Alligator mississippiensis: one gene and its partner. The protein of the gene in region 2 purifies or fractionates together with the protein of the main gene of each other region. This does not show direct contact. Links are inferred from orthologs where the notes say so. Each region holds a gene or a part of one and is shown on either strand. Other genes may lie near its edges. The genes, in order: ING3 and EPC2.

Evidence for each region.
Region 1: the proteins of EPC2 (region 2) and ING3 purify together in Homo sapiens (affinity purification with mass spectrometry; 3 studies listed by BioGRID and IntAct, with this or other methods). This does not show direct contact. The link is inferred for Alligator mississippiensis from reciprocal best matches to the Homo sapiens genes EPC2 and ING3.

What each region holds. Positions count from the first base shown.
Region 1 is NC_081827.1:46,128,588-46,143,318, forward strand, and holds the start of ING3 (inhibitor of growth protein 3), read right to left. Parts: upstream 5,451-14,731; 5' UTR 5,326-5,450; coding exon 5,298-5,325; exon of another isoform or gene 5,295-5,297; coding exon of another isoform or gene 5,294-5,294; intron 5,186-5,293; coding exon 5,114-5,185; intron 1-5,113. UniProt on the Homo sapiens protein: Component of the NuA4 histone acetyltransferase (HAT) complex which is involved in transcriptional activation of select genes principally by acetylation of nucleosomal histones H4 and H2A.
Region 2 is NC_081827.1:228,921,555-228,937,036, forward strand, and holds the start of EPC2 (enhancer of polycomb homolog 2), read right to left. Parts: upstream 6,728-15,482; 5' UTR 6,530-6,727; coding exon 6,377-6,529; exon of another isoform or gene 6,361-6,376; intron 1-6,360. UniProt on the Homo sapiens protein: May play a role in transcription or DNA repair.

The DNA of each region.
Region 1 (14,731 bases), about 180 Mb from region 2:
GCTGCAGAAACAGAAGTCTACCATGATCACAAACTGACTTAGATCTTAAGACTCAGAGCCTAGTGAAGTAGTTTATGTGCTGCCCAAGACAAGGATGCATGCTACCTGTGGTAAGCAAACCTTAATCTTTCTGGATCATGGTGTATGCATGAGAGGACCTTCACCAGAACTTTTGATGTGTATGCCTAGGCAGGAGTATGGAGAAGCAGCAGCTTCCCAGACCTTCCATCTCTCCGTTAGACCACTGAGACAGATTCCAAAGGCCAGACCAAGTCTAGACATTCAGCACCTTGATGGCTGTAGTTGTATGTGCATCTGAGTTGAACCCAGATCTCCTGCATGACAGGCAAGGATTCTATCACTGAACCATAACAGTGGGTTCATGCTACCTGTAAGCACTGCAAAAATAAAATTGCTATTCTTACTTTAAGTCCTTTTGGGAAATGGCCCTCTGTAAATCTTGAAGACAAGTCAGTTATTCAAATGCTCCACTATGCACGATGTCTTCTTGGGCAAAAAACCACTAGCTTACAACGTAAAGGCCTGAAGTCACTAATTCTTTTTCCAGACAATGAGGTCTTCACATGACTGACAGTGACTTTTTTCAACATTAAAAAAAATCGTTAGGACCTTTGTCTGTGCTAATACCATTGAGGCCAGATAAGATGTCAAGTGAAAAGTGAATCCCTTTGAAGTGTGTCATGCCTCTAGAAGGTTGTCCTTAAAGTAAAGGCAAGCACCCTTTTTCGTGTGGGTAACTGGAACCCAAGAGAACGGGGGGTGACTTTTCTACCCTTGCTTTCTCAAATCTTCAAAGGAGTTACTCTCTAGTGCACAAGCTTCTTCTTGACCATCCATCCACTCTGGATGGAAAGCCAGAAAGACAATAAATACTTCACTTGAAAAATCTCCACTTCAAGGCTCAAAAGTCTGGATACAATTCAGCTGAGCTTCAATATCGCCATGGTTATCTCAAATGGAATAGTTGTAACCTGCTACTTACACTTTTTCCATTACTGCTTGGTGGCAAGAAATACCCCTTCATTAGCTGGTGCAAGATATGATCCAAGAGCAGCTCAAATTCTAATGGAGAGAAGTTTTTGGCCAGGTGCTCGAGTCGCAGCACCTGCAGATTTCTGAGCCATCACTAACTTAGGAGTCAGCTGACTAAACAGTTGTTCAAAATGTGGAAATATGGAATTCTGCACTGCCAGAAGATTCTTCTGGTTTATCTATAGCATTTAACTGGTGGGAATCCTCACAAGTACTTAGACCAGAAGAGATGAGAAAGGAGCCTGAAATTTCTACAATGCTTAAAGATGCTCTCTCTTGCTATGCAAAAGTTACTGGGAACACAAGGTGCATGTCAAAACATTTCCTACAGACTTCCAGGGCCTAAATGTTGTGTTTATGAAGGCACACAAGGTTCTTTAGGTAAATGTGATATCTTGTATTAGACCAGGGGTGGGCAAAATATGGCCCATGGGCCAAATCCTATCTGGCCTGTGGAGCCCCTAAAAAAAATTTAGAAAATTAATATTTGTCTGCCCCAGCTGTCTGTCAAAGATGACAACAGCCAGGGGCAGTAGGACCCAGGGGAAGCCCCAGCAGGCTCCTGCAATAGCAGGGTCCACCCAGACCCACCCCACAACCAGAAGCCCCTGAGAAGGAAATTCAGGTAAAAAGAGGAAGTGGGGAAAGTGGTAGTGGGGGCAGGCGTGCAGGAGTGTGGGGCCTATGCCAGTGTCCCGGGGCCAGCGCTGGCAGGGCCCAGAGCAAGTGGCAGGAACATGGGGTGTAGGATGGCAGGGGTCTATGGAGCTGGGCTCCACTGTGCCAGCAGGGAGAGGGGAGCTGGCCCAGCTCCAAAGAGCCCCAGCCAGCTGGGACCCTGCACTCTTGTCGCCTGCTCTGGGCCATGCCGGTGCTGGCACTGGCACAGGTCCCACACTCCTGCCCAGCTGCCACGTGCCTGCTTGCTCCCAGCCCCGTGGCGGGCACAGGTGGGAATGACCGCAAACAGCACTGATCCTGCACACCCTGTGCTCGTCCATCCGGGCTGAGCAACAGCAGCAGCAGGGAGCAAGCCAATAGTTCAGCAAGAGGGAAAAGCTGCCCCTCCCCCTCCTGCTGCCAGCATTCCCTGCCCATTTGGGGCTATCCTGTCTGTCCACCATGTCCCCACCACCCATGGAGCAGTGGTGGCAGTGGAGAGAGAGCACAGGTAGCCCTGTGTGGGCTCCAAGCAGCTGCCACAGGGAGCACCGGTGGTGGGAGGTGAAGCAGCTGCTTTTCTGCCGCTCCAGCAGCTTTTCGTGCTCTGCCACTGCTGCTGCTCAGGCCACTGAGTGAACCTGGAGCCGCTGCGGCGCCCAGGCTGACAACAGCGGTGACAAACAAAGTGCAGCTGAGTGCAGAGGAAAAGCACTCCCCCTTCCGCTGGGCAGTTTGCTGGAGCCTGCTCCACGCTAGGCTCTGCTGTGGCTCTTTTGCCGCCAGCTCTGTGGCCACGTGAAGCAGCAGCACTGGGCAGCACAGAGCCGGCAGCAAAAGAGCTGCAGCGGAGCCTAGCATGGTGTGGGCTCCCCCAGCAAACACAGCCCAGAGGTGGTAAGGGGGGTGTATTTTCATTTGCCCTGGCAGCAGTTCGTGCCCTGCTACTACTCAGCCTGATGGGCGAGCCTGGAGCCAGTGCAGGGCCCAGGCTGGCAGCAGCAGTGAGGAACAAACTGCAACTGAGGGGAAAAGCGGTCCCTCCCCCTCCCGCCACTGGCACTCCCTGCAACATCTGCTTGGAGGCCACGTGGGGCTGCCTGTGCCCGTTCTCCATTGCCACAGTTGCCCCATGGGTGGCAGGGGCACAGAGGAGAGGCAGGACAGCCCTGCATGGGCTCTGGGCGGCTGCCACAGGGAGCACAGGTGGCAGGAGGGGGAATGGCTACTTTTCTCTCATGCTGAGCAGCAGCTTGTTCCCCACTGCCAACGGTGCTCAGCCCACAGGCGAGGGTGGGGCACGTGGGGTCAGGGCTGCTTGCAGTCATCCCTGCCTGTGCCACAGGGCTAGGGCTGGCGGGGCTAGGAGCGAGTGGGTGTGCGCAGCCAGATGGGAGCCGTGGCTTCCGCTACCGGTAGTTACGTGTAGGCAGCAGGGCAGCCCCAAGAGGGAGGCAGCTGGCTCTGTGTGCTCTGTCCTGCTCCCACGGTGATGGATGAGCCCAATAAGGTGCTGCCCATGCACCAGGACCGCGCCAGGCTGGGCAGGACCCTCCACTCCTGCGCACAGCTGAGAACAGGGGGATGCAAGCAGGGAAATGCCCACTTTCCTGCCCACCCGCTGGCCGCTCTGCACCCTGTGTCTCCCATACCCACAATACCATACCCAGAGACATCCCAACAAACCCCCATACCCAACCACACAAAGCTCCCCACAAACCACCTACCCCATACCTCCTGACACCCATGCACACCCGACACAGTATACGACTGTATTTTGAGCTTTTATGCAATCACTTCTACATATATAGCACAAACACACACAAATCAGATAATAATATTTTTTTAAATTAAATTAAAATATATCATTATGGGTGCCTGACTTTTACTATATAATTTATTTCCACCACCACCTTAGATGGCAAACCCTCTTCCCCAAAGGAGTACTTGCAGGGGCAAGGAGAGGGACTTCTGGTGGCAAAGGTCAGAGGTTAAGCAGGTGGGACTTCCAGTCCCAAGATGGTGACCAGGGAGCGGGGCACCTGGCAAGGAACGAAGCTACCCATGCGGACCTCTACAGCTTGCCAAAACTCGGTAAGTGGCCCTCTGCCTGAAATAATTGCCCGCTCCTGTATTAGACCAACTGAGTAGTAGGAAAAATTGTTCTTTGCAAACTTTCAGGCACAAACACCCTTCTTCAGGTTTATCAAGAGTTTCTGTGAAGAGATTTAGTACCTGACACAGCACAAGAGAAAAAAAAAAAAGCATTAAAAGTGGGACTAAAACTTTGAGGATGAATAGATGTGATTTGGCCAGCTCCCCAAACATATTCTGCCACTCATGTGGTCTCAACTTGAGCTTGTTTACTCTTAGTTCTGCCTTACTCTTTAAAAGAACACATTGCCTCATATCATGAGTGGAGTCCCATGGATTTCAAGCACTGTAGCCTGAAAAAGACGGAGCATGGGATGCATAAACGCTATTTGCTGGCAACACAAAGTTTGGAGTTGTGGACTGGGATCTCACCCAGGAAGAACGGGATGATCTCGAGGACCAGAGAAATAGAAATGCTATTTCACAGTCCAGACACCAGCGCAAACACCAAGACCTCGTGCTGTAACTGAGGTGTCAGCCCACAGCAGGCATGAGGTTGCATATGGGTGCCACCAAGGTGACAAGGCAGGTGGGGTTGAAATAGAGTTGCCAACCCTCCAGGAATTGGAGATAAATTTCCAGGAGACTGCTGAGTCACCCAGGAGATAATATTTCTTTTAATAAATGCCCTATCGTTTAAGTGTCAACCTCTGATTTATACAGTTGTCCAGTGGGTTTTTAAAACGCAACAGTCATGTGCATTTGCCTTCCTGACTGTCATTACATCATGTGATGAAGCCTCCTGGAACAGATTCAAACAGACTTGGTGACCCCAAGTAGAAATCAAGCAAGTCCATGCAAAGCAACAACACGGCAATGAAACTGAAGAATAAAACAGGGAGGAGGAGGAAGAAGGAGAAGGAGGGGGAAAAAAAGCTGCAGACAGGACCAGGCAGTGTCGCCCCCTCCTGGGTCTTCTGGTCTCCCACGTGGAGACTCCGCTCAGCAGCTCTCTGCCGCCCCGGGGAAGCGCAGCCTGGCGCTGCTGCCCCCACGCGGGCACCCAGCCGCTGCCAGGAGAAGCGGCAGGGCAGCAGCGCCGCCCCCGGGGACCGCCTGCACGCGGGGCTCCAGCGCTCCGCCCCTCTTTGCGCGCGGCCCCGGCAGCAGCAGCGGCGGCACCGCCTCCCCGCGGGGCAGCGCCCGGGGCCGAGCGTGGGGCGGGGGCTGGAGCTGGGCCCGCCCCCCGCGGGCGGGGAGGAGGGGGGAGGGGAGCGCGGGGCGGGGCGGGGCGGGACTCACGTACTCTGCACCTGCAGGTCCATCTCGCGCATCTCGGTGAACCTGTCGCGCAGATCCATGGGAAGCTGCTCGATCACTGCGGGCACACGGGGGGAGGGGGTCAGCCGCCGCCGGAGGCAGGGGAGCCGCCGCGCCGCCCTCGCCCCCGCACCGCGCCGCCGTCCCCCCCCCCCGCCGCACGCACTCACTCTCCAGATAGTCCTCCAGATACAGCATGGCGGCGGCCGGGCCGGGCCCGCGCCCAGGGGCTCCTCGCTAACGGGCTCGTCCCTTCCAATATGGCGCCGCCGCCAACAACGCCAGCAGCTCGACTCAGCGAAAACAACATTGGCGGCGGCGGGCACTCGCCTTAACCGCGTTGCGATTGGCTGCCGCCCGCGCTGACGTACCCGGGCCCCGCAGCATCCTGGGACGTGTAGTCGCGCTGGGGACCCCGGCGGGGAAGGGGGCGGGGACTACATGTCCCAGGAGGCTCCGCGCCCAGCTGGGGCCTCATCCCGCGCGGCAGGACAGTGGAAGTTCTTGCGGTGCCAAGTGCAGGGCGGCAAAGTGGAGCTTCTCAGTGACTCGCTCGTATTCCTGCCCCAAAGGCCTGAAGCACATCTGAATGGGTCACGTTTTTTTAGGAGGAGCTCAGCTTTTCATATATTTCTAGCCCTCATAGTTGACATAGGGTTTTTCCCTCCTGGAAGTTGGAGTTGCTACCTCTCAATCTCTTTTGGAGGTGCCCCCGCTCCTGTTCCTGAGAGCTCTAGCTCCTGGGGTCATGTTATTTCAGGAGGATCTCAGCTTTCAGTTTTTTACATATATTTCTAGCCCTCCTGGTTGACACTAGGGTTTGAATTACGGGGGGGTCCCCATAAGAGACAAGAGCGCCCCCCCCCCAAAAAAAGATGAGGGCCCCCAGCCCACCCCGTGCCTTTCTAAGCACTTAAGGCAACGGCAGTGGCTTCTTCCAGCTTCCGGCTGCCACTGCCACAGACCCCCCACACAAAGAGTCAGAGTGTCATTCAAACCCTGGCTAACGCATCGCACCACATGTTAAGCCCCCCACATTCTTCAATGCAAAAAAGTCCTTGGAGCAGAGCTCCATAGTAGGTTTCATTGCATTCACTGCCTTCATCAATCACTTCTGCGTTCAGAATTTGCCACCCAATTTCTGCAAATATTCCTACAATAGCGCAGAATTCTGGGGTATATGAGACAGAACTGGAAGTCAATCTAAATTTGCTGCTTTTGATGTGCCTGAGGTACTGAATCAAAGTGCCTTAAAGCCTCCCTTGCCCCCCATCTGCTCCCCAAAATTAGAAGCTACATAAAAGGAACCTGAAATACAGTATTATTTAAAATCTTACAATTTGCATATGTGTTAAACAAGGTTTCAAGCACAAAATGCCCTTTTCAGGCATGAGAATAAAGTCAACATTTTTGTGATATATATACATTTTTGGTTGTTGTTATTTCTTAATATGTAAGATTGATAATATGACACTAATACCACATGAGATGACAATATATATAACTTGCACACTTTTTTTTGTACAAATGCCATGCAGTATGTACCCATTTCATATGCTGTCATGAATAGCTCCTTTTTCATATCTAATGGTACACTGGTGTATATAACAAAACATGAAATGGGCCTGACATAAAGTCAGTGGACTGCGATTAACTTCTGTGAGCTTTGTATGTACATCCAATGTCTGGTCCAGCAAAGTTGGTGCTTGAGTATCACTACCTTAATACTGGTAACATTGGCTTCATTCAGCAATATCAGGACCTGTACATGGCCTTCAGTGAGCTTACTAAGGCCTCTGATTGTGACCACCAGTCACAAACCCCTGTGGAAAGTACTGACTTCTGAAAAGTTCTTCAAGGTTCTACGCCTTCTCCATGACCAGACGACTACGAGCAGTCTTTGCAGCAGATCAGAAACAGATCCATGTGTCATCTGAACTGCAGTCGAGCAAGGATGCATCGTTACTCTAATGCTGATCTCCATTTTTTTGACAGTCATCCTGGTTCTCATTAAGGACCACCTTACTTCCAGAACTGACACTGAATATCAAACGGATGGAGTACTCTTCAATTTGGGATGTTTTCCCTCAAAGACCAAAGTTCTGAAAACATCCACCTTCTGACAAGTGTGCCATCCTTGCATACATTGAGGAAAACCTCCAGACCACACCAGATCTCTTTGCAAAAGCCTACCGAACTTTGGGTCTCCCTCTCAATATCGAGAAGAAGTGGTCTATCAGCCCATTGCAGGCCATGAATATGACCCAAATTACCATTGAGGGAAAGACCTAGGAGGTATTCAAGAACTTCCCCTACCTCAGTAGCTACCTCTCAGAGAGTGAACACTGATGAGGAGATCCAGCACAGCATGGGCAACTGGTGCCGTCTTAGTCAGGGGGGGCACGTGCCAGTGACCAGTCAGCAATCGCAGCCAATCTTGCCACCTGGGGGGTAAGAGTTCCCCCGCAGAAAAACTTGCTGACCTGGAAGTGGCTGCAGTGCTTCTGGAAGTGGCCATGGTGCTACATCGGCTCCCCCACTCTCTGGCCAGCATTTGCAGGGGGTACATTGGTGCTCCTGCCTGCCACCCCCCCCCCCGGCCCCCCGCTCATTGCCTAAGTGGGGAGTGTGGCTGGTCACAGGGTGCACCAGCGTGCTCAGGGGGTGCACATGCACCCCCATTCACCCGCTATGTGTTGCTACTGCAGCACGGGATCTGGTACACAAGTGCCTCCCTTGGAAAATTGCTGCAGCCTATCTTTATTCACTGTGATCTCCAGAAAGACACCGAGATCCAGGTCTACAATGCAGTCATCATTCCCACTTCTCTCTATGGATGTGAAATGAGAATGACCTACCATTGTCATCTCAAGAGCCTAGATAGGTATTACCAATAATGCACCTGGAAAAATTCTCCACATCAAATAGGAAGATTGCCATACAAACACCAGCATCCTTGCTAAAGCCAGTGTTACCAGCTTGAGTCAGTAATCCTCAAGCACCAACTTCCCTGGTCTGGGCATTGTGTGTGGATGTCTGGCTCTCAGCTTACAAAACAAGTGATCTACTCCCCGTTCACTTATGGCCTGAGAGATCGCAGTGACCAGAGGAAATTCTACAAGGACACATTAAAGGCATACCTGAACAAATGGATGACAGCATCAAGAGCTCGGAGCAGCTGGCTGCCAACAGACTCCAGTGATGCCACAGCCTCAACCAAGCAGTTGCCTGTTTCAAGGTAAAGCATCCTGCCCTCAAAGCAGACGAGAGAGCAGAGGAAGGAAAAGGAGAGGAACTCCAGGCTATGGCCTGTTCTGTCCTGTAGAAAGTTTGCAAGCCGTCCCACTTGTATGTCCTCTGTAACTTGATTGAGAAACTTGCTGTTCCTTCAGATTATTAATAAAAATGTCAAACAGTACAGGATACATAACAGACCCCTGTGAGACTTTGGGCTGTTCTGACATTGATTCATTTATAGTAACTCTCTTCTTGTGGTTATTTAGCCAGTTATGTTTCGACTTAGCAGTGATTTTATCTAGCCCTTATTTCTCTAATTTACTTATAAGAATGCCATGTAGGACCTACCAAGACCTTACTAAAGTCAAAGTACATTATGTCTGTCAAACTAGTTATCCTGTCAAAGAAAGGAATCACAATAGTTTGACATGTTTTGCACTTAGCAAATACATGCCAGATACTAGTGATCACCTCTTCTTCCTTCAGGTGTTTACAAACTGGCTGTTTTATTGTTTATTCCAGTAACTTCCCAGGTATTGAAGTCAGGAAAGCTGATCTGTAATTTCCCACCCCCTTTTTAGAGATGGGTATTATGTTAGTCCTTCTCCAGTCCATTGTGGCAGAACAGATACTTTTCTTGTTTTTAAAGAGTTTTGATGTATAACTAGTTAAAATACATTTGAATTTTAAATCTCAGACATATTTTTTTTTTATCTGGGATATGTGGAAAATAGTTTTCTTTTCACTATTTTTGGACAAACATTATGTAAAAAAAAAAAAAAAGACATTTTAAAAAGTCCTATATTGTGGTGACCTACAGAGGCTTTTCTAAAAAGGTCTGAGAACAATGAATGTTGATTTCTTCAAGAAAGATTGCATTTAAGCATTGGTGATGCATAGAGGTGCACCGCCTGAGAGAAGTGCCAGCAGCATTTCTGGTTTTGCCGCCGGCACTTCCACATGCATTTAAGCACCCATTTTTCATACACATCCCACCCTTGGCCATTCTGCAAAGACATCCAATGACTAACAGTTGGTATCTTCTGGCATTTCTGTGGTGAGTACATTTATACATGGAAAATTGGATTGAGAGCATTGGCTAATTCCATGTCAGTCATTGAACAGTTGTTAGGTAGAAATTACATCATACTTTTGCAATTAACCAGAAGGCCTAGATCAGTGATTCTCAAACTTTTTAGACTTGAGGCATCCTCAGAAAATGCCAGCTTTCAGCTTTCACTCATTTTTTACTACAAAAAAAATAATAGAGCAATTCTTTCATTGCAAATAACTCAGAAAAACTGCAATAAGAATCCTCTTGACACTATGAATTCCTATTCGAAATCTCTGGCTTTATCTAATGAATCATTTGTGGGTGTTTACACACCTAACAGTGCTAGTATTGCATGGAACCCTGTGGCACCCTTAAAAGAATGTCATGACACTCTAGGGCAGGGGTGGGCAATTAGTTTGGGTGGAGGGCTGCTTACTGAGTTTTGGCAAGCCAACGAGGGCTGCATGATAGGCAGCCAGAGGCAGATAAATATTAATTTTCTAAATGTTTTAATGGCCCCGCGGGCTGGATAGAATGGCCTGGCGGGCCGTACCCAGCCCCCAGGCTGCATTTTGCCCAACCCTGCTTTAGGATGCCACAGCAGCATGGTTGAGAATCACTGTCCTAGATGACAAGCTCTGTACCATATTGCTTACAGGAAACACCCCATTGTCCAAGTGCAATGCATGGAGCTAAAATGACAAATATTGATGATTGTCATGAGACATTTTAAGATAAATGAGGAAACCCATTTTCATAAAATCATAGAAGTAGGGTCAGAAGGGACCTTGTAGATCTTTGAGTCTGACCCCCTGCCTGGGCAGGAGGAAAACTGGGCTCAAAAAATTTTACTTATAAAGTCCTTCATATATAATCTTAACCAGCTGCTTTGCATTATTAAATATAAGTTCAATTCATTGAATGCATTGAATTCTACAGAAAGGTCACAGTGTTATCAACCTCTGATTCTAAAATGACGATATAAAATTAACTTAAGTAATTAATTGAAGAGCAGCTATAAGTTGTCAGAGAACTCCATTAAATGAGAGCAAGCTAGTTAAATGAGTCATTTTCATTACAGAAGGAATAGCATGCCGATACTTAACAAAAATGAGACAGGAAAGGAAGCCTGTTTCTACACAAAATTGTTTCTACACAATTTGTTGTGCAGGGGACTAAGACTCTGATCCTTTCTGCAGCTGAGGATTGATGAATCTTTATCTACTCACTGAAGTCAAAGGGCTTCACATTAAAAGAAAACTCAGCCCAAAATCTTAGGTTAAGATAGTTGTATCCTGTTTTCTTTAGAGAAAAGCTGAATGAGTTTTGGGAAATTTGGGGACATGAAGTCATTTTTTAAAAATGTTTGTCATACCATGTCTTTTTTTAAAGTGAGAATATTAACAGCTCTTGTAAAATTAATATGAATTTGTTTTTTCTCCTTCAAGAAGAGTGAGTATTATAGTATTTTGGGACAGGAGCTTGAGTTACTGTTTAGACAACTCAGTTCAGGTCAAAATCAGTCTTCTGATACAATCAACAATGGGGTTTTAAGAATGTGAATGTAGGATCTATCTGGTTCAGTATCTATTAAGAGGTATATAGGAACAAGAGTATCTGCCCTTAGCTTTTTCAATGTGAATTTTGTCTCTAGAGTCTCACATTTTTCACTACAGTTTCATTTCTGTTGTTTTATTCATATTAGGTAGTCAGATAATATGAATAGTCAGAATTAGTTCCATGAGATTTACATGCAAATAGATCCTGCTCACAGGTAAGAGTGGTAGAACTGAGCTATAATTTGATTTTTTAAATAGAATGAGTTAAGGCCATAAAAAGAGACTTTTTTTAAAGATGAAAAACTTCCCATTGTACATAAATGTGGAGAATTAACTCTATTGACTAACCTGGCTTTTATAGCATCCTAATTGCCTACAATTAAGGAAAAATAGATTAGTGACAGAGCTTATTGAGATGCAAATAAACTTCAAAGAAAACTGAACCCCAACTGTGAAACATTCATGAACTTGAGAAAAAAGAAGATTCAGCTACTGAATTCATTCCATGCTGCTCAAACATGCCAAAGAACAATCAAACTGTTTAGTACAGAGGAGTGGAGGCCATAAGAGCTGCCATTTCCTATGAATGATTTATATGGCAAAATTACTGATATTAATGGCATTTGTCCTGCAAGCATTCCACATAAATTGCATATTGTCACCTCTATTAGCATGCTACACTATACCTAAAGAATATTACTGTTTTTCTGTGACTCAAAGCAAATTGCATGAAAAAAATCTCTTTTTTCTATTAATGGAATCATAACTGATTAGAAAAGTGAATAACTTATATGTTTGCATATGATGAAATATTCTTATGCACATTTAAAAGCATTTCATCAACTTAAAAATAAAAATTTTAAAAAGTCTTTCTTAATCTCCCTCTGGTCCCTTTTCAGTTCTTCTGTCCCTTTCTAGCTGTCTTCCATCTCAGGTTTGTCTTCACTATTTCCAGAATTTCTTATCATATCTTCCTCATTGTAGCTCTTCATTCCAGCTTGCCTGTTTCTGCACACCCCTGTCAGATCCATTCTCTTTACCTCTCTGACTTCAGATTTTCTCTCCCCATTTACTGCTCCAGTCATCTCATTATCAACTTCTTTCTCTTCTTACCATTATATTTCTGGGTTCCCTCTTTGTACCGTTTCTTTCTGCCAAGTCTAGTAGACAGAATCCAGTGGCCTAGTCCAAAATTAGGCTGAGGCTGTAGGGTTGGAATAACTACAGCTTTTTGCCTGTGCTTGGACGTCTTACTGAGTATCAGTTGTCAGTCTGCTCCCAATCATAACCAGAAGCGTCTGATGTGGTGTAAGCTGGGGTTGTCCAATTTCTAAGCAGCTGGGGGCCAAATGCCCTGTGGGTGACACCAAAAGGGTGCAGCCCCTATGGGCTTCTCCCCTTGTCTTACAGGAACCTGGACAAACTATGGGCCCTGTGGGCCACATGCTGTGTGGACACCACCCGCCTCCTGCACTGCATGGGTATTCCCTCAACTGTAATGGGTACCTGCCCCTCCACTACATGGAGTGCCCATTCCCCTGCAATGTTGCATTGTACATCCTTCCCCACTGCACCATGCACCCTGCATTGGATGCAGGCAGAGAAAGCTATAGGAGGGAAGAGGATCCTGGAGCCCAGAAGTGGGTGGAGGAGCACCTGGACAAGAGCTGAGCGCCTTAACCCCTCACGGGCCACTACTTGGACCAAGCTCTAGTGTAAATAATTGCTGCCTATCTAGAAGTATAGATTTTGTTCTTACAGGAATACTTTCAAAGGCTCATAGGTAACCAAGCTACACTAGGGCAATGGGACAACCAGAGCCTGTGGACAAATACCAGGCTGAGAGGTCCCTCAAATGCTGGTGCATTTTTTTCAACGATATATGACACTTTCCACAGCTGTACTATAGGAATTCTGTCAAATGAAGCAAGAACCATTTACAGCTCCAGTGACAATTTGCTGCTGAGGGCCAGTGTGCAAAGTTTTACCTGAGTAAGAACTGCAGAATCAGGCCCATTGCTATTTTCCCTATTTTATTTTCATTTTTCTTCATTTCCTGTCCCTTGCTGCATCTTCTGCTCAGAAGACAGCCTTGCCTCTTGCTGCGGTCTTTCCACTCTTTCCAGTTCTCTTTTCTTTCTCTCTAATTTAACTATTACTTTCAGTTGTCATGATCCTACCATTTCCAATAGTCCATCTCTTCTCCTGGTGTATTCTTCTCAGTACAGAGGAAGTAACTGTCATTGCACTGGTGCTGCACTGTACAGCCATTGGGGAACATCAATTCAATAATTCTCTTGAGACTGAGTACCTTTATGAAACTTTATGAGTAATTTTATTAAATGAAAAACTCCATCTAAAGCTAGATCTTACAGAAGCAGAGAAAGAAAATCAGATAAATAGCATTGCCCTTGACCTATGGAGTGATTGATAGAAACTTCACGCTTCTCAGAAATCATCCTCAAAAAGGCAAACTAGGCCCATAAGTATTGTGATTGCAGAGTAACCAACTTTTCTACATGTTAGAAACTCTTGCAAATTCTTTATTTCACATTGCTATTTCAGAAAATAAATACATCGCTTCAGATAATTAATTTACTTTAATAGTCGACAGGAAAATGGAACTGCCATTTATCTTCAAGCTTCACTCTGTACTGACTCAGGCAATTACATCCTCATCTTTTAGTTAATTTTATCTGCCACAGACTCTGTTGAATTTACTTGCAGATTTCAGCTGTTTCCTGCAGGTCTGCAGGATATGAGTGGTCACTGTTTATACATTTACAGCTAAAGTGCTTTTTTAAATGTCTGTTGAAGCTGCCTGAAACAGTTTGGAAACTGGTTTAAAACCTCCTACGCTGGACTCCCTTATTACTGACAAAGTAATAAATTACGTCTCTTTTTCAGTAAGATGGGATGCTTAGGAATGTCACTGTTAATAAAAAGCAGTATTTTCAAATGCATTTTGCTGTTTATTTGTAGTGAAATATACTTCTTGTCTTTTAAATTGTCAGAACTGATATTCATGCCTATTTTTTATGACACTGACTTGCTTCCTTGATCTCTGTGAGTGGGAGCAACTCAGAATGCTAACCCATCCTAAAATGAGCATAGAAGAGACAGAAGCACTAACTTTATGACATTGTCTCTCTTTTGCCCAGCCCTGCTGAAGAGAGATTCTGTAGGGATGAGGTCCTGCAGGTGTGGAGGGAAAAGAGAAGCGGACTCTGCAAGGATAGTGACTTTCACCCCTCTCAGAATCTTTCCTAATCCCAAAGATAATTCAGAGAAAACAGAAGGGGGAAATAGTTTGAGGGACTTGTCAAGATGGTGACATTATTATTGATTGAAGGCTACAAATGCAATGATTGATTGAAGGCTACAGCTCCCCGATAACCTGCCCACTGCAAGCTGTTGGGGATGCTTGCAAACTATGGGGGTAGGGGCTCTAATCCTATGACAGCACAGTTTAAAAAAAAAAAACCTTTGGTGAGGGATAAGCTTGAAAGCTTTTTGAAACTCCAAATATATTATGTCAACTAGATCCCCCTTGTTCGTGTGCGTGTTGACATCCTCAAAGAACTCCAGCAGATTGGTGAGGCAGGATTTACCTTTACAAATACCAGGCTGACTCTTCCTCAGCAGATAAGATTTGTTGATATGATTTTCTTTTTTATTATAGATTCTATCAACTTGCTGGGGATGGAATTGAGACTCACTTGTCTGTAGTTCCCAGGATCACCTCTTCAGCCCT
Region 2 (15,482 bases):
ATTACACTTAGGAAACTTTGCACAGAAGCAAAATCTCTAGAGATTCTATACCTAGATATTACCATAATCACTCATTCCTAGGTTTTATTTTTAGCCTATAAAACTTTTCTGTAGCTTGAACCCATTATCCCAGAGACTTCATAATACCCGCGTTAACCATTTGCGTCCTCTGCTTCTTTCATAAAGGGTGGGCAGGGGACATGTCAAGAGGGAGAAGGTAAACATCATGTCATTAATGTATCCCCAAAATTTAGAATAGGTCCTGGAACATTAGGTCTGTACAGGAAATGAAAGGGAGTGCTCTTACTGTTTTGAAGACAGAGTATAATTTAATTACTCTACCAACAATACTCCAAAATTAATATGTATAACAGTTTTGCATGGAAGAACAGACTAGATATTCCCTCATAAATGCTTTCAACAATTAATATCTTACAAGTGGTATTAGAATAGAATATATTTATTCCAATTCCTAGCTTTTGAAACTACAGTTATAAAAGCTAGGAAATTTCAAGTAAACTCAAATTTTCCAACTTATTAGTGCATTATCTTTTCAAACAGTTACCATATATCCATGAACCTGATCAAAAATAAAAGTGGAATCATTTGTTTAATGTTAATTTGAACTTTGGACACCAGCAATTGGGGATCATCAATACCTACCTTAAACTAATAATGTATCTTTTAAAAAAATACTTTTGTTTAATAATGACTATCCACAAACAGATAAAATAGGTCTGTTTACTACATACACACAGCTTTTGCTAAGAGGGATACAGGCTTACAATAACAAAACATTAAAAAAAAACAACAACCTTGTAGTGCTGCACCACAGCACAGATCATTCAGTGAGGAATGACTAAAACACTTGCTTGTCACCTTGAGAAAAGGTTCAACATCAAATTTTGAAAATCAGAAGTATAAACAAACTGTAAACAAGAGCCAATATAAAACCAAAAACCTTTGAAGGCTTCTGTCCACTCAGTACTACGGGGTGAGAAACACAGATTTTATATATAGATAGATCATAGTCTAATGAGAAAAGACAGGCTCACACGATCTTAGAGTATGATTAAAGAACTGTGGTATACAAGAAACAATCCTGAGTTATCATTTTGTTTAATAAATATATTTAATATTTTTATACATTTAGTAATGTTGAACCAGTGTTCCCAAACATCATTTTATCCTTAAGGAAAACCTGTTAAGTATGTGTAATAGACAAAGACACAGCAAATGACTTGCTTTCAATCACAGAAGTCAGTGGCTGAGTAGTATCCTAGTGTCAGCTACCAAAACTTTTAAATCAAAATACAAAGTTTCTATGATTTGAAATCTATGCATTCTTAAAGTAACTGGTAGATACTCTAAAAACACTGACCAATGAAGTAAGCAGAAAGCCTGTAGATCAGTAATTCCCAACTAGGGTGCCTTGAGATCCTTCCAAGGGTGCTGTGAGGTACTATACAACATAACATAGTTAAGAGTACAAACATGATTCACAAGGTAAACCCAAAGATTTCAAATAGGAATCCCTACTGTTCCAAACTCTTGGACCAGTTGCAGTCTTTCTATATTCTCTAGAACAGGAGAATTGCTGTATTATTCCCCCCCCACCAGTCAAAAAACAGGTTTTTGACATTTCTGTTCAGAGGAAAGTGGTTAGGTAGAATACGCAGAGCAGGCCTCCACTCTGAAAGCTGTCCAATTTTCACTGAACATAATAAAGAGCTTGTGAACTTTTACAGGGGACCTGATGGCTCAAGCAAGATAAGAGCACAGATAATCAAATGGGCAGGGCATATCACAAGAACTGACAGTACACGAGGCAGATTTTGGAAGCTGAGGAGGATATCAGATCTCAAGAAAGACCAAGGCAATGAGAAAATGATCTGGTAAAGATGTGACAAGGTGGAAGGAGACAGCATAAGACAGGAGGAGATGGAAGGCTGTAGTTAAGGCCATTCTAGGCCCTGGAAGCCTGCAAGACCACAGAGAAAGAGAGACAGACATGTCCCTTTATGAGCTGACCCGTATAGAAGCTTGCTTAGTCCATTATTACTGAAGATTTGCAGCTTTGTGCTAGTGCTGTCAGACCTCCATATATGAGTGATCTTCTGAAAAGCAGTGGTGGCGTTACCTACAATGAAGCTCTTATATCATGGATTCAATCACCACAGTTCTGAAAAAGCACTGTGTCTAGGTGAGTGAACTTATCAACAGTTCAAAGCCACTCCTCTGGGAATGATGGAATCATCCAAGGTCAAAAAGACTTCCATAACTCTTGTTTTTGTTTATTTAGCAATCTTGGCTAGGTTATCAGCCTATGGCTACCTTTTATTTATTGATGTTTTCAAAGAAAAATATCAGCAGCAAACTCAAGATCTTCAAACATATGATCTATCCACAGAATTCAAGTTTCTGTAGCAGAGGTCTGCTGCAGAGCAACATAAAACAAGGGGGAGAAGGAACACCCCTGCTGAAAATCAGTGGTAATTACCAATTAGTCCAGTATTTTTTGATTGGAGATGACAGCATAGTTATCCACCTGATAAAGTCTGGAAGAGCTAGATAATTTTACATGCATCAACACTATTAACTATTTCACTGCTCACAATATGCAAGAAAGAAGTATCAGATTATGAAGATCTATGTTATCATTTCCCAAAGATGGGAGAAGAACTCTGAAGAACGTGTGTGATTTAGAGATTATCACATTAACAAGGATTTTATCAATAGATGAGAGAGGTCAAAGCAAGGGATGACCGATTTCAATTTTCCTGAAGAGGGACTAAACTAACAAAAGTTTGAGGAAAATGTTCAAGAGGAATCGGCGACTGTCAATGACATTTACAAAAGTACCTTGGTCAACTAGCAACCCGGTCAATACAACAGCCGATTTGGCAAGCTGTTTAAGGCTACTTCTGAGCCTCCTCTGCCAGTGTTAGTAAGTTAATGGTCATAGAGACATTGTAACTTCCCTCCCCACAACACACACACTAAGAGCAGGAGGGAGGAATGAGTACTGGGTCTGATCTTGCAACCAGATTTATGGAGGGCCCCATGATTTCACTTAAAATCTCTTCAGATATAAGGATCTACCTGAAATAATTTAATCATAGGACTGGTACCTAACTATATGAATAAAGCAAGAAAGCATTAAAACTAAAAATAGAATGCTGCCAAATGCAAAAGATAAAGAAATGATCATACAGATTTCCTTCGTTTCTTTCTGTTATAGTAACTTTCAGTGTTACTTTTTCTAAATGTTTTTGTTGTCATTACAAGTATGATTTTTTAAAGATGAAAGCACTCCGACATAAGAGCCTCAATTAAAAGAACAAGTACGCTGCTTTGGAAATACTACTAGTTCCAAGCAGGTAATATAGTAAAAAAACCTATCAGAAGCCAAGTGTTCAAAACACTGTAATGAAATTTAAAAATGGACACAAAGGCAAACTAGGGGACAAAATTTAAGTTTAATTTAACCCTCTCCCTTCCTTTCAAAACTCTCATGTAAGCAATCATGTAATTATGAATAATGATAAAATACCTTAAACCAAGTAAATAAGATTTTTTTTTTTTGCATTCTTACTCCTTTCTGCATTTTTAAATATATCCTTAACTTGGGTTTCTGCTCTGCTTAATCTCTAAGTTCATACTTAAGTGCCTAACCTAGTTACAAATGAATGAATGCTGAAACCTAAAATTCTGAGTTACTTCTACAATAGCACCTAAAGTGCCCAAAGCTATCAATTATTACTGTGATACTTTTGTGCTTGAAACTACATAAAGAAAGTCAAATCCACTTCTTAATACCTTCACTCACTAGTGAAGTCGTCTTGCCTTATTATTAAACATGAGTTTTTACCTAAAAATGTAGAAACACAACAGACTTCAAAAATATGCATTCAGATCAGACTGGGTAGTTATAAACTAAGACCTACATTAAGTGTTGCAGTACTAAAATAAATTCCCTTTATGACAGCAATGTTTGCTAATATGATAAAGTACATTTCCAGCACAGTAGCTGAAGAATTTGAACCACTGACTCTCTCCCAAATTCTAAAACTAAACAAAATAGAGCCAAATTCTATTGTCAGTTATGATATAAATCCAGATTAAATTCAAATGCTAATTAGTTTAGATTTATGCAAATAAGTGACAGAATTTGACTCAACTCTTAATCTTAAAGTTATGGGTGCTAGCGCACCGAAATGTACTAGACATCCCGACTCCAGAACTCTGATGGGGGTCATAAACAAAAAGAAATATAGCAATGCGAACATAGTCTGTAAGTTTTATTAATAAAACTTTTGCCCCAAAGATAAGATATAGAGAAGGTAGGTATTTTGAAAATAACCTGTGAATCTGAATTGGGAAGACTGTAATATTCAGGGTCAGGTTGCAGTACCCTACACTGAAAATTACCTGACACCACCAGCAGTCCCAAAGAATTCAATGGAAATACTTGTACATTGTGAAGCAGTCAATGTGACAGTATTGCAGTCTGGCATTAGAATATTTGTATAACATTGCTGCAATTAGATTAACTGAATGGTACAACGGCAAACCTCCATTCTAAGACAAGCAGATTTTATTTATTTTTTAATGTGTATGGATTCTGTTATTACAAGAGATTTTTTTTAACAAGTGTGTACACTGCTGTGTACACATGTGCATATGCATGCATCATTCACCCTTCAGTGAAGTTATTCTTAAGCCTAAATATCTGAGACGTTTGATTTTAAAATTTAGAAACTCCTGGTTTTTTAATATATACCTGTATTTATAAACATACCTCCCATGCTTCACAAAAATATAATAAACTATCAACACAGAAATTAAATGGCTATTAATGTATCTTCTTTAAAAGTAAAAAGATAGTTAGATCTTCCTGAAAGTGAAAGAGGCGTATCCTTCCCCAAGCTGGTACTAGGAATGTTCTCTCTGTTCTAAATACACTCATGGATGGTAGGACAATTTCATTCTCTAACAAGATCAAAACACACTTAGAGGATCAAGAAGCAGTGAAACCGATACATTATAAACATTGTAATACCATGAAAAATACAATGAGGTCATAACTATAAGTAACCAATGGAAGATACAAAAGATCTTTTTCAATATTAGCAGTCAAATAGGGAAGCCAATCAGAAACGCAGAACCTTCCTTTTGACAGCTACCACCTCTGAAAAGCCAATCCACATCCACAGCGGGTTGACTACCAGGCGGCAGCAGAGATTCATTGAAGAAATTCTTGAGGGTTCATTTACTATCAATTCTGAGTGCAAGTACAACCATATAAGGGACCGCTGGTGTGAGCAAGACACCAACCAAATGAATGCCGAAGTCAGCCTTTACGGACAGCAACAGCAAGCTCACCGAAGCAGCACTGCAATTATGGACAGCAATCAGCTTTGTGGCAGTACTGTCCTAACTCCCACAAGACCTTACCCTCGTGCAAAGACACAGACACCACCTCCACCTGCAGCGCTACAGCAAGGCACAGCAAACATTTCACATGCAGCACAAGTTCATGACTGGCCACACTAAACACTATAACGCACAGGGCAGTCAGGACCCAGCTGCAGCTCTGCAGCCACAGCCGGCCCTCATTCAACATGCGCCATGTGGCCCACAACACCTACTGCCATTCCTCAAAGAGCAAGTAGCCACTTCTCACAGGAGCAACCGGGCACTTCAATGCGACCGCTTGCAAGACAGCAGCTGGGATCCAGGTACCCCTAGGGCGAAGTGCGCAAAGCGGTGCTTGCTATGACAAGTGAAGGAGATTCCTGCGGGCTGGGATGGCAGGAGCTGCTGCATCCCGCACCCCAAGCTGCGGAGGCCGAGGTGACGGACCTGGCATGATAGGCCAGGTGAGGTCTCTTCAGCTGCGGAACAGGCCATGCCTCCTCTCGTCTGCCCGAGTGGGACCCCAGCCCGTGACAGCTGCAACCCCGCCGTGCCCGCCCGAGACCTGCCGCCGCCGTCGGCCCGGACGCCGCAAGCGCGGGGAAACCAGCAGCAGCAGCCCCAGGCCGCTACGCCAACTGCGGCCGACGCGCACACCTCGCCATTCAGAGACGCGTCTTGCGCCTCTCTCCCGCTCTACGCTAGCGTAAGGGCCTCCCCCTGCCGCTCATCAAAACACTCGCGAGTCCGGACGCAAAGAAGATGGCGGAGCAGGGCCCGCTTACGGCGCCGGAGCGGGCTTGACGCTGCGCTGTTTGCGCAGGGCCCCGTCAGGAGCGCGGGGCGCTGCGGCGGGGAGCGTGCGTAGTGCGCTTGGTGAATGCCAATGGCCTATTTCCCGTGAGGGGAGGGGGGGCGGCTGATAAACAATGGTGCCCCCCCTGCGCGGCTCCCTTACCGATTCCTCCTCCTTCTCCATGCCCGTGGGCATCTGCGGCACCGCCCGGTTGATGGAGACGCAGTCGTTGAGGTCGGGCATGTCCTTGCCGCGGTAGATGGGCAGCGGTTTGGCGGCGTCTAGCGCCCGGGCGCGGAAGGAGAGTTTGCTCATTGTCTCCCCCTCACAATAACAGCCCGCGGCGGCGGGCGGGGGGCTCAGTGCGGCCGCGCCGCCGCCTGCCGGCTCCCGCGCCCGGCCCGCCGCACCATGGGGGGCCCCGCCGCCCCGGACCAGCTCCCGCAGAGCCGCCCGCCGCTCCCAGCGCGCGCCCCGCAGCCCTAGATCCGCGCCGGGCTCGCCCGCTCCGCTCCCTGCGCCATGGCCAACATGGCGGACATTAACCAAAGCGGCCAGCGATCCCGGCAGCCACCGCGAGAGCGCGGGGGGAGGGGGAGCGGCGCGGGCGGGAGGGGGGGGGAGTTGGGGGGGGGGGGGGGGAAGAGCGCTGCGCGCGCAGCCGGCCGGGGATAGAGCGTGCGGGAGGCAGCCCTGGGCCCGCACTCTGGAGTTGTCCTTGCCCCTGCGCAGGCACACAGGTGTGCACAGCGCGGGCAAGCACGCATACACACCCAGGGGTGCACAGCATGCACAGGCACACAGTGGCGCACACACACACAGGTTGCGCACATACACAGATGTGCACAGCACGTGTGCACACCACCCACTCACTCATAACTATGCACACAGACGTGCACACCTTGACTAATACCATCTTCCCAATTCATATTTAGCAGTGTTTTGAAAATAGCTTACCGTTCTCTCTCTCTGGTATTGAGATGACAACTCTTTTATTAATAAAACTTACCAACTATGGGCTGGTTGCAGTATTTCTTTTTGTGAATGCACCCACGTGGCTTTGCACAGTGTTTGTGCACATGTACACACATGCACAGGTGTGCACAGCTACACGCAAATATATAGATGCACACAATGTATACATGTACACATACACAAGTGCAAAGCTGTGCATATGCAGGTGTGCACATGTGCAAGTTGGAGGCAAACGTGTGTACAACTGCACACATGCACATGTACATGTGTGTAAGCACACATGCAGCTTGCGCAACGTGCACCCACACAGGTGTGCACAGCTGTGCGTGCATGAACACACACATACATCATATGTAGACTCCACTGAACAGTCCTGGGGTAGACGATCCCTGGTGCATGTGGGTGCTGCAGATAGCGGGTAAGTCCTGTGCCAGAGACCACTACAGTCGGAGTCCTGGCCATGGGCACACATCTCAGAGGAGCTGCTCAGCCCAACTGCTCCTCACAGGCAGGAACAGAGTTTGCCACCTGAGGCAGAAGGCAGTGGGGATGCACAACTTACTGACTGACTGAAGCAGATTAGAGAGAGAGAGAGAGAGAGAGAGTAGCTCTGGTGAACTACACCTCAGTTCAGAGGCCATGAAAGGACAACAGAGCACGCGATATGAAGTGGACATGGCTTGACCCTGTCTCTTCATGGCCTCTGATGAAGTGACTTTGAGTTTACAGAGCTGGTGCGTGTAGCTGTAAGGGGCTTGTCCTCAGGGGCACCCAGAGGTTGTTTCTAACCTAATACAGGAAGAACCAGCAGCAAAAAAAAGGGGGGGTGGGGAGGGGAGTAGAGTAGGAGAGCAAAAGGGTTACAACAGTGAGAAGTGCTACTGATGTAACCCCCCTTTTTGTGGTATACATTAGCTAATAGCTTAAAAAAACGTGCACCTAGCCCACAGTGAAGGATAGTGTCCACATGTCCCCACTGAAATTTTGGAGTGATTTTTCCCTTCACTGAGGCCTGGATTGCACCCACAGGTGACAGAGCCCTGAGAGACTTAACGCTTGACTTCCCTGCTAAAAAGGTGTGATTTTGTACCTGGAGGTAACCACAAGCATGAGTGATCCCAAGGTAAGACTGTAGTAAAGTCTAAACATTTTTTCTTTACCACACAGTAAAAATTGATGAGATCAACCCTACATATTCCTGTCAGGAAGAAGTTCCTTCATAGTGAGGCTACAGTACCTAGCTTTCGCGGTACCTGTATCTTGGGATCAAAAAAATGGAAGTTCGTAGCACCACCACAAAAGCTCATTGTCACTGCAGCTTTAATGTGTGCTTGAGTTAACTTCTCTCATTAGCCTAGATGGAGTGAGAGTACTAACAGGGGAGCAGTACAGAGTGAGTGGATTAGCACCAGAGTAGCCTAGTCCCCACTGTATTATTAGCTCCAGCCTCAGCATCAACAGCTTGTCCTGACATGCAAGCCAGCTGCAGTTTAAAGCACTATTTAACTCAAACTCAAGATGTATGTATGTGCATAGGAGAGTCAGGCAAGGCTAAATGTTGAATTCGCTCTCATATTAACACTGTAGTGAAGACAATCTTGTAGTTACCCAGGCATATCTTTTTCCCTTAGCTCTCTACATGTAGGTATTTGGCTGTGAAGAGCATCCAGAAGCTTCAGGGAAAGCAGAAGGCAGGTACCTGTTTATTTTGTACTGCTTCCCACGGCTTGTAAGTTATTCATGCACATGCATTTTTTTAAATTTGTTGCTGACACTTTTTCTGGGATAATGATAATTTGCTTCTGTTTAGCTTAATTCTAAATGCTCTTTGGGCTAACCTACATAGGAACAGGAATCCTTACTCCACAGAGTAAGGGTAGGATGTAAGGAGTAAGGGTATCTCACAAAGTTATTAAAATAAAGCTATGCCTAAATAACTCAAGGTGTACAAGCCTTGAATACTTCTAATGTTCCAGATAATTATTTACTCCATGGTCAAGGTATTGATTTTGATCTATAAAATCTTATGTGAAATGCCTTGCCACCTCTCTGACATGCTATTTTGTTCTTTAATGACCAGCGATGGTCAGGACCTTTTGTTTACATCTTATTTGAGAGGTGTCGGACCAGATTTCCAACTGAGGTATGGACACACTTGATAACTGATGTAGACTAAAGATTGGCATCCTGTGGCCTGCAGCTTGAATTTAGCCCATGACTATAGAACAAACTGGCTGTGGATGCTCTCCCCATGCTGCCAAGAGAACAAGTGGTGGTCATGGGCAAACCTTAGTGCTTGTCTACCCTCGTGGGGGGGATCCAGGATTTTGTGAACAGGGGTGTAGGAACAGCAACTGGCACTGGAGGGATGACAGCACTTTTGTTCCCAGCTCCCTCCTTGCACTGAGGCAAGCAGAGTAGGGACTTTTTTAAGTCCCCAAAACTAGTAAAAAGCCTGTCCCCGACCCTGCTCTCAGCACTTTCTCCCGTCCCCCTCCATCCTCAGCAGCATGTCTGATCCAATTTATTTTCCCCCTCCCCTGCCCACTGCTGATACTGTCTCTGGCTTATCTTGGGTGGTGGTGGTGAGAGTGTCCAGTTCTCTCCCTTGTGAAATGAATTGGGAGGGTTGCAGGTTGAGTGGGACTTCAGAGCCACTGGAACCAGGCTGAGCAAGGGACAGCAGGAGCAGAGGGAACCAGACAGAGAGGAGCAGAGCGGAGGAATCTACCTATTGTCACTCCTCTTCCTGGCTGAAGTGAGCAAGGGACAGCAGCATCAGTGGGGACAGTGGCAGCAGCAGTGTGTGTGTGTGGGGGGGGGGGGTGGAAGAAGAGGGGACACACTAGGATGGAAGGGAAGGGAGGGTCTGGATCTCATTAGACTCAAAAGGGAAGCCTACTCCAGTTGGAAAATGGGAAGCATCACCAAAGAGGACTACTCAGCACTCGCCCATACCTGTAGGGAGTGGTCCAGAAAAGCCAAGGCACAAACTGAACTCAGGCTAGCTTCAGGGATCAAGGACCACAAAAAGTCCTTCTTCAGATATGTGGGAAGTTGAAAAAAGACTAAAAGTAGCATTGGGCCCCTGTGGGATCAAACGGGGCAGCTGACATTCGATGCCCAAGAAAAGGCCAATCTCCTAAACAATTTTTTTGCACTGGTTTTTCACCCTCTCAAGGGGATCATATTGTCAGAAAGGACACTAACCAGCCTGGGAGCGGGTGGCGGGCCCAAAACTGATGTGGATCAGGTGAAGGAACACTTTGAGAATCTGGACATTCACAAGGCCGTGGGCCCTGACAGAATGCACCCAAGAGCCTCGAAGGAGCCAGAAGACATCATTACACCCCACCTTCTCAAAGATATTTGAAAAGTCATGGTGCTCGGGCGAGGTCCCAGAAGACTGGAAAAGGGCCAATGTGGTTCCTATCTTCAAGAACGGGAGGAGGGATGACCCGGGGAATTATAGACCAATCAGTCTGACATCCACCCCAGGAAAAATCCTAGATAAAATTGTCAAGAGATCCATCAACACCAAACTAACAGAAGGCAAGCTTCTGAAGGCCAGCCAACATGGCTTTGTGACTGGCAGGTCTTTCCTGACCAACCTCATCTCCTTCTGTGACCAGGTGACACAAAGCCTGGACAAGGGGGATGACGTAGATGTCGTATATCTGGATTTCAAGAAAGCCTAGTTTCCCACAGTGTCCTCATGGCTAAGCTGAGGAACTGTGGCCTTGATCATCTTACAGTCTGATGGCTAGGTAACTGGCTACAAGATCAGACCCAAAGAGTACTAGTTGATGGAACCAAATCAATGTGGCACAGGGTGAGCAGTGGAGTCCCTCAGGGCTCGGTACTTGGGCCAGTACTCTTTAACATCTTCATTAACGATCTGGATTTGGGAGTCGGATGTGAGCTGGCCAAATTTGCAAATTACACCAAATTATGGGGGCGGGCAGTCACACCGCAGGACAGGCTGGGGATACAGGCCAACTTGGACCTGCTGTCAAGGTGGGCTGACCAAAACATGATGGTCTTCAATGTAGAGAAGTGTAAGGTGCTCCACCTCAGTAGGAAGAACCATCAACACACAAGCTTGGCAGTGCTACACTTGATAGCACCACAACCAAAAGAGACTTGGGTGTCCTGATTGACCACAGTATGAATATTAATTACCAATGCGATGCTGTGGCTGGCAAAGCAAGCCAAACTCTGGTGTGCATCTACCGATCCATCTCAAGCAAAACCAGAGATGTCATCCTCCCACTTTACTCAGCCTTAGTGAGGCCACAGCTGGAGTACTGCATCCAGTTTTGGGCCCCCCACTTCAGGAGGGATGTGGAAAAGCATGAGAGAGTCCAGAGGAGAGCCACTCGTATGATCCAATGCCTGGAGGGCAGGCCATAGGAGGAGAGGCTGAGGGATTTGAGACACTTCAGTTTGGAAAAGAAAAGGTTCAGGGGTGACTTGATAGCAGCCTACAATTATATAAGAGGGGTACATCAGGACCTGGGAGAACGCCTGTTCACCAGAGCTCCCCAAGGGATAACAAGGTCTAATGGCCACAAACTCCAGGAAGGCTGATTTAGACTAGACATAAGGGAAAAGTTCTTTATGGTGCATGTGTCCAGAGTCTGGAACAGACTCCCCCCAGAGGTGGTGCAAGCACCTACTCTGAACTCTTTCAAAAAATGTCTAGATATTTTTTCTTGCTGGGATCACTTGATCCCAGCTGTCTTCCTGCCTGGGGGGGGGGGGGGAGGGGGTTGGACTCGATCTCATGAGGTCCCTTCCAGCCCCTAATGTCTATGAAATCTATTAAATATATGAATAGAAAAAAACATACCTGGCTGCTGCTTCCACAGTGTGATCAGAAAGTTGGGGGGCAGGGGGGAGGGCTGGGGGGAAGAGGAAAGGGGAAGAGGGGAAAAGGATGCATCCATGCCACTGTACCTGCCCCTGCCTACCATTGATCTAGACATCATTTAAGGCAAGAGGCATTTCATTCTTGGCTTCACTGAATTTTGTAATCAGGTAGGACTGAGACTGAACTCCGTGAATTCTGTAGACCCTGTGCATGTTATGTAGGTACAATGGCACAGTACAGAATTACATGTTTCTCCTACTGCAACTGATACCCTTCTTGAAGGGACTTGCTAGCAAAAGTCTGTATATAAATTATATAATTGACATACACCCTCATCTTACCCACTGCCTAAAGTAGATCTAATCACTCAACGCATAGTACGATAAAAAAATTAGCTAAACCGAACCACATTTTCTACCAGGCAACTGGATAATAAAATAAATGATAAAGAATAAAAACCAAAAGTCAGTCACTCCTTAGGGTCTTCTAAGTACGGCATTGTGGACTGGCTCTCAGGAGATCTAAGTTAATTTCTCAACTGCCACAATTTTTTATGGTACTGGGGGCAAAGCATTTAAACTTTTTCTGCCTCTATTTCCCATCTTTAAAACATGGATAAAATATTTTTACCCACCCCTCAGCCTATTTTCTCTTTGGTGTACAGCACTAAGCAGAATTAAACCCTGATCTGACCTGGGAGTCTCTTGGCATCATGGTAATTCAAATAATGTCAGCAAGGCCTTTGACACTGTCGACCACCCCATCCTCATTAAAAAACTAGGTGACTGTGGCATTGATGCCTACATGGTCAGATGGATTGCGAATTGGCTGAAGGGTCATACTCAGAGGGTGGTGGTGGATGGGTCATATTCGACCTGGGGGGAAGTGGACAGCAGAGTCCCCCAGGGCTCAGTCCTTGGACCTGCGCTGTTCAATTTCTTTATCAGCGATTTGGATGATGGGGTAAAAAGCAACCTGTTCAAATTTGCTGATGATACCAAAATTTGGGGTGAGGTGGGCACGTTGGCAGGGAGCGAAAGACTGCAGAAAGACCTGGATAGGTTGCAGGGGTGGGCTAACAAAAACAGGATGCGTTTCAATACTGACAAGTGCAGGGTGCTGCACTTGGGCAGTAGTAACCAGCAGCACACTTTTAAGATGGGAAACTCCCTTCTTGAGAGCACGGAGGCAGAAAGGGATCTTGGAGTCATCATTGACTCCAAGATGAACGTGGGCCGACAATGCGAGGTCACAGTTGGCAGGGCTAACCGGATCTTATCGTGTATCCACAGGTGCATCTCAAGTAGGTCCAAGGAGGTGATCCTCCCCCTCTACGCGACACTGGTCAGGCCACAGCTGGAGTAGTGTCCAGTTCTGGGCACCCCACTTCAAGAGGGATGTGGACAACATTGAGAGGGTCCAGAGAAGGGCCACTCGCATGATCTGGGGACAACAGGGCAGACCCTACAATGAGAGGCTACGGGACCTGAACCTGTTTAGCCTTCACAAGAGAAGGCTGGGGGGGGACCTGGTGTCTGTCTATAAACTCACTAGGGGGGACCAGAAGGGTTTGGGGGAGACCTTGTTTCCCCAAGCACCCCCCGGGATAACAAGGAATAACGGCCACAAGTTGTTGGAGAGTAGGTTTAGATTAGACATCCGTAGGAACTACTTCACAGTCAGGGCGGCTAGGATCTGGAACCGACTTCCAAGGGAAGTGGTGCTGGCTCCTACCCTGGGGGTCTTTAAGAAGCGGCTTGATGCCTACCTGACTGGGGTCATTTGAGCCCAGTTTTCTTCCTGCCCAGGCAGGGGGTCGGATCTGAAGATCTACAAGGTCCCTTCCAACCCTACTTCTATGATTCTATGTTTCTATGAATAAGTATGCCATAAGCAAAGGGAGGAAAGTTAGTTTTTCAGAATATTTCATTCCATTTCTCCTGAATCTGAAAAGGTTTTCCCCAACTTTGAGGGATTTATTTTAAAGTATGTTTGTAAGTGATGTCATATATACCACACAGTAATGGAAACGCTTATATTTAGCTAAGGATGTGGAAAATTTGCAAAAAGAATCTTCTACAAAATTTAAGATTTGGTTTTTACATGGAAATTACACAGACAACTGAATTAATGTGCGACTTGATTTAGTTTCAGTGGTGTTACACTATTACATGAACACTTTTCAAAGAGTTTAAGAACGTTAGATATTGATTTACTTTAAACTACCCCATTTGGCACTAAGATACTGTTTACAACCTATCAAACTCAGTAATGCAGTGTTTTAAACATGGTTTTGTTCTTAGTCACTTCTATCCTACTAGGATAAAACCATCAGGTACACATGATGGTCCCTCCACAAAGTAGATTTCCAGAGCATATATGGGATTTTTCATGGTATGTGACTGATCTTGTGTATGTGTATTGCTGTAGATCCCAAGTGCTCTATCCTAGCCTGCAGGCCAGATCAACCCCTAGTGCCATGTCGTGGAGCTCCATGGGCCATAGCCCTGTACTCTTCTAGATCATGTAGCACAGAGCCCAATTCCAGTGCAGGGGACCAGATGGAAGCTACACAAGGCCCTGATCCCAGCACACAAGGCCAGAGAGAGGCTGCACAATGCTCAATCCCAGTGTGCAGGGCCCAACCCAGATGCAAGGGCCTGACCCTGGCATGCAGGGTCCAATCTGACCCATGGACAGGCCACGTGCCTCTCATCTGGGCTATGGGTTCAAAAGATTGAATGAGACTGCTTTAGATGTCTTAATGCCTTTGATGAAAAAATGGTATTATGCTCAACAACGTTAAAGGATGTTTTACTGTAGTTTCTCAAAATCACACATATGAAGTGGTTGCAATAGGAATGAAAGCCTTTTCCCTACTGGAGCATGGGCAGATCAATGCATGGGCTCGTGGGGCCCATGCCTAGGGACCCCTGCCAGTTAGGGTTCCCAGACGTCTGGGTTCCCTCAGATAACAGCAGGTTTCTCCTTGCAGGTAGGCAGCATTCCCAGCTGCAAGGGGTCTTGCTTGGGGCTGCTGGAAGTGGGACGCAGGGGGCATCACATGCATATGTGCACCCAGAAATGTAGCCAGGCAGCAAGGAGAACAGCTCCCTGCAGGTAAGGTTATGGAGGGGTGGGGGGGCAGGGGAAAGAACGGGCATGGGGAGGGGCAGATTGAGGCCCCTAGGCCCCATGGTGAGGGAAGGAGTGGGGCTGGGGTTGAGGATGCTGCCCAGCCAGGGTGGTGTGTGGGACCTGGGGCCAAGGCTGGGAGCAGGATGGAACCACAGGTAGCTTGTCCAGGGGGTAGAGGGGGGGGGCATCTCTTGGCTGCAGTGTGCACACCCCAGGGGAGGCATGGGTGGCATGTCCCTCCCAAATTTATGCAGAGGGTGGATGTGGGCTGCTCGCTGTGGA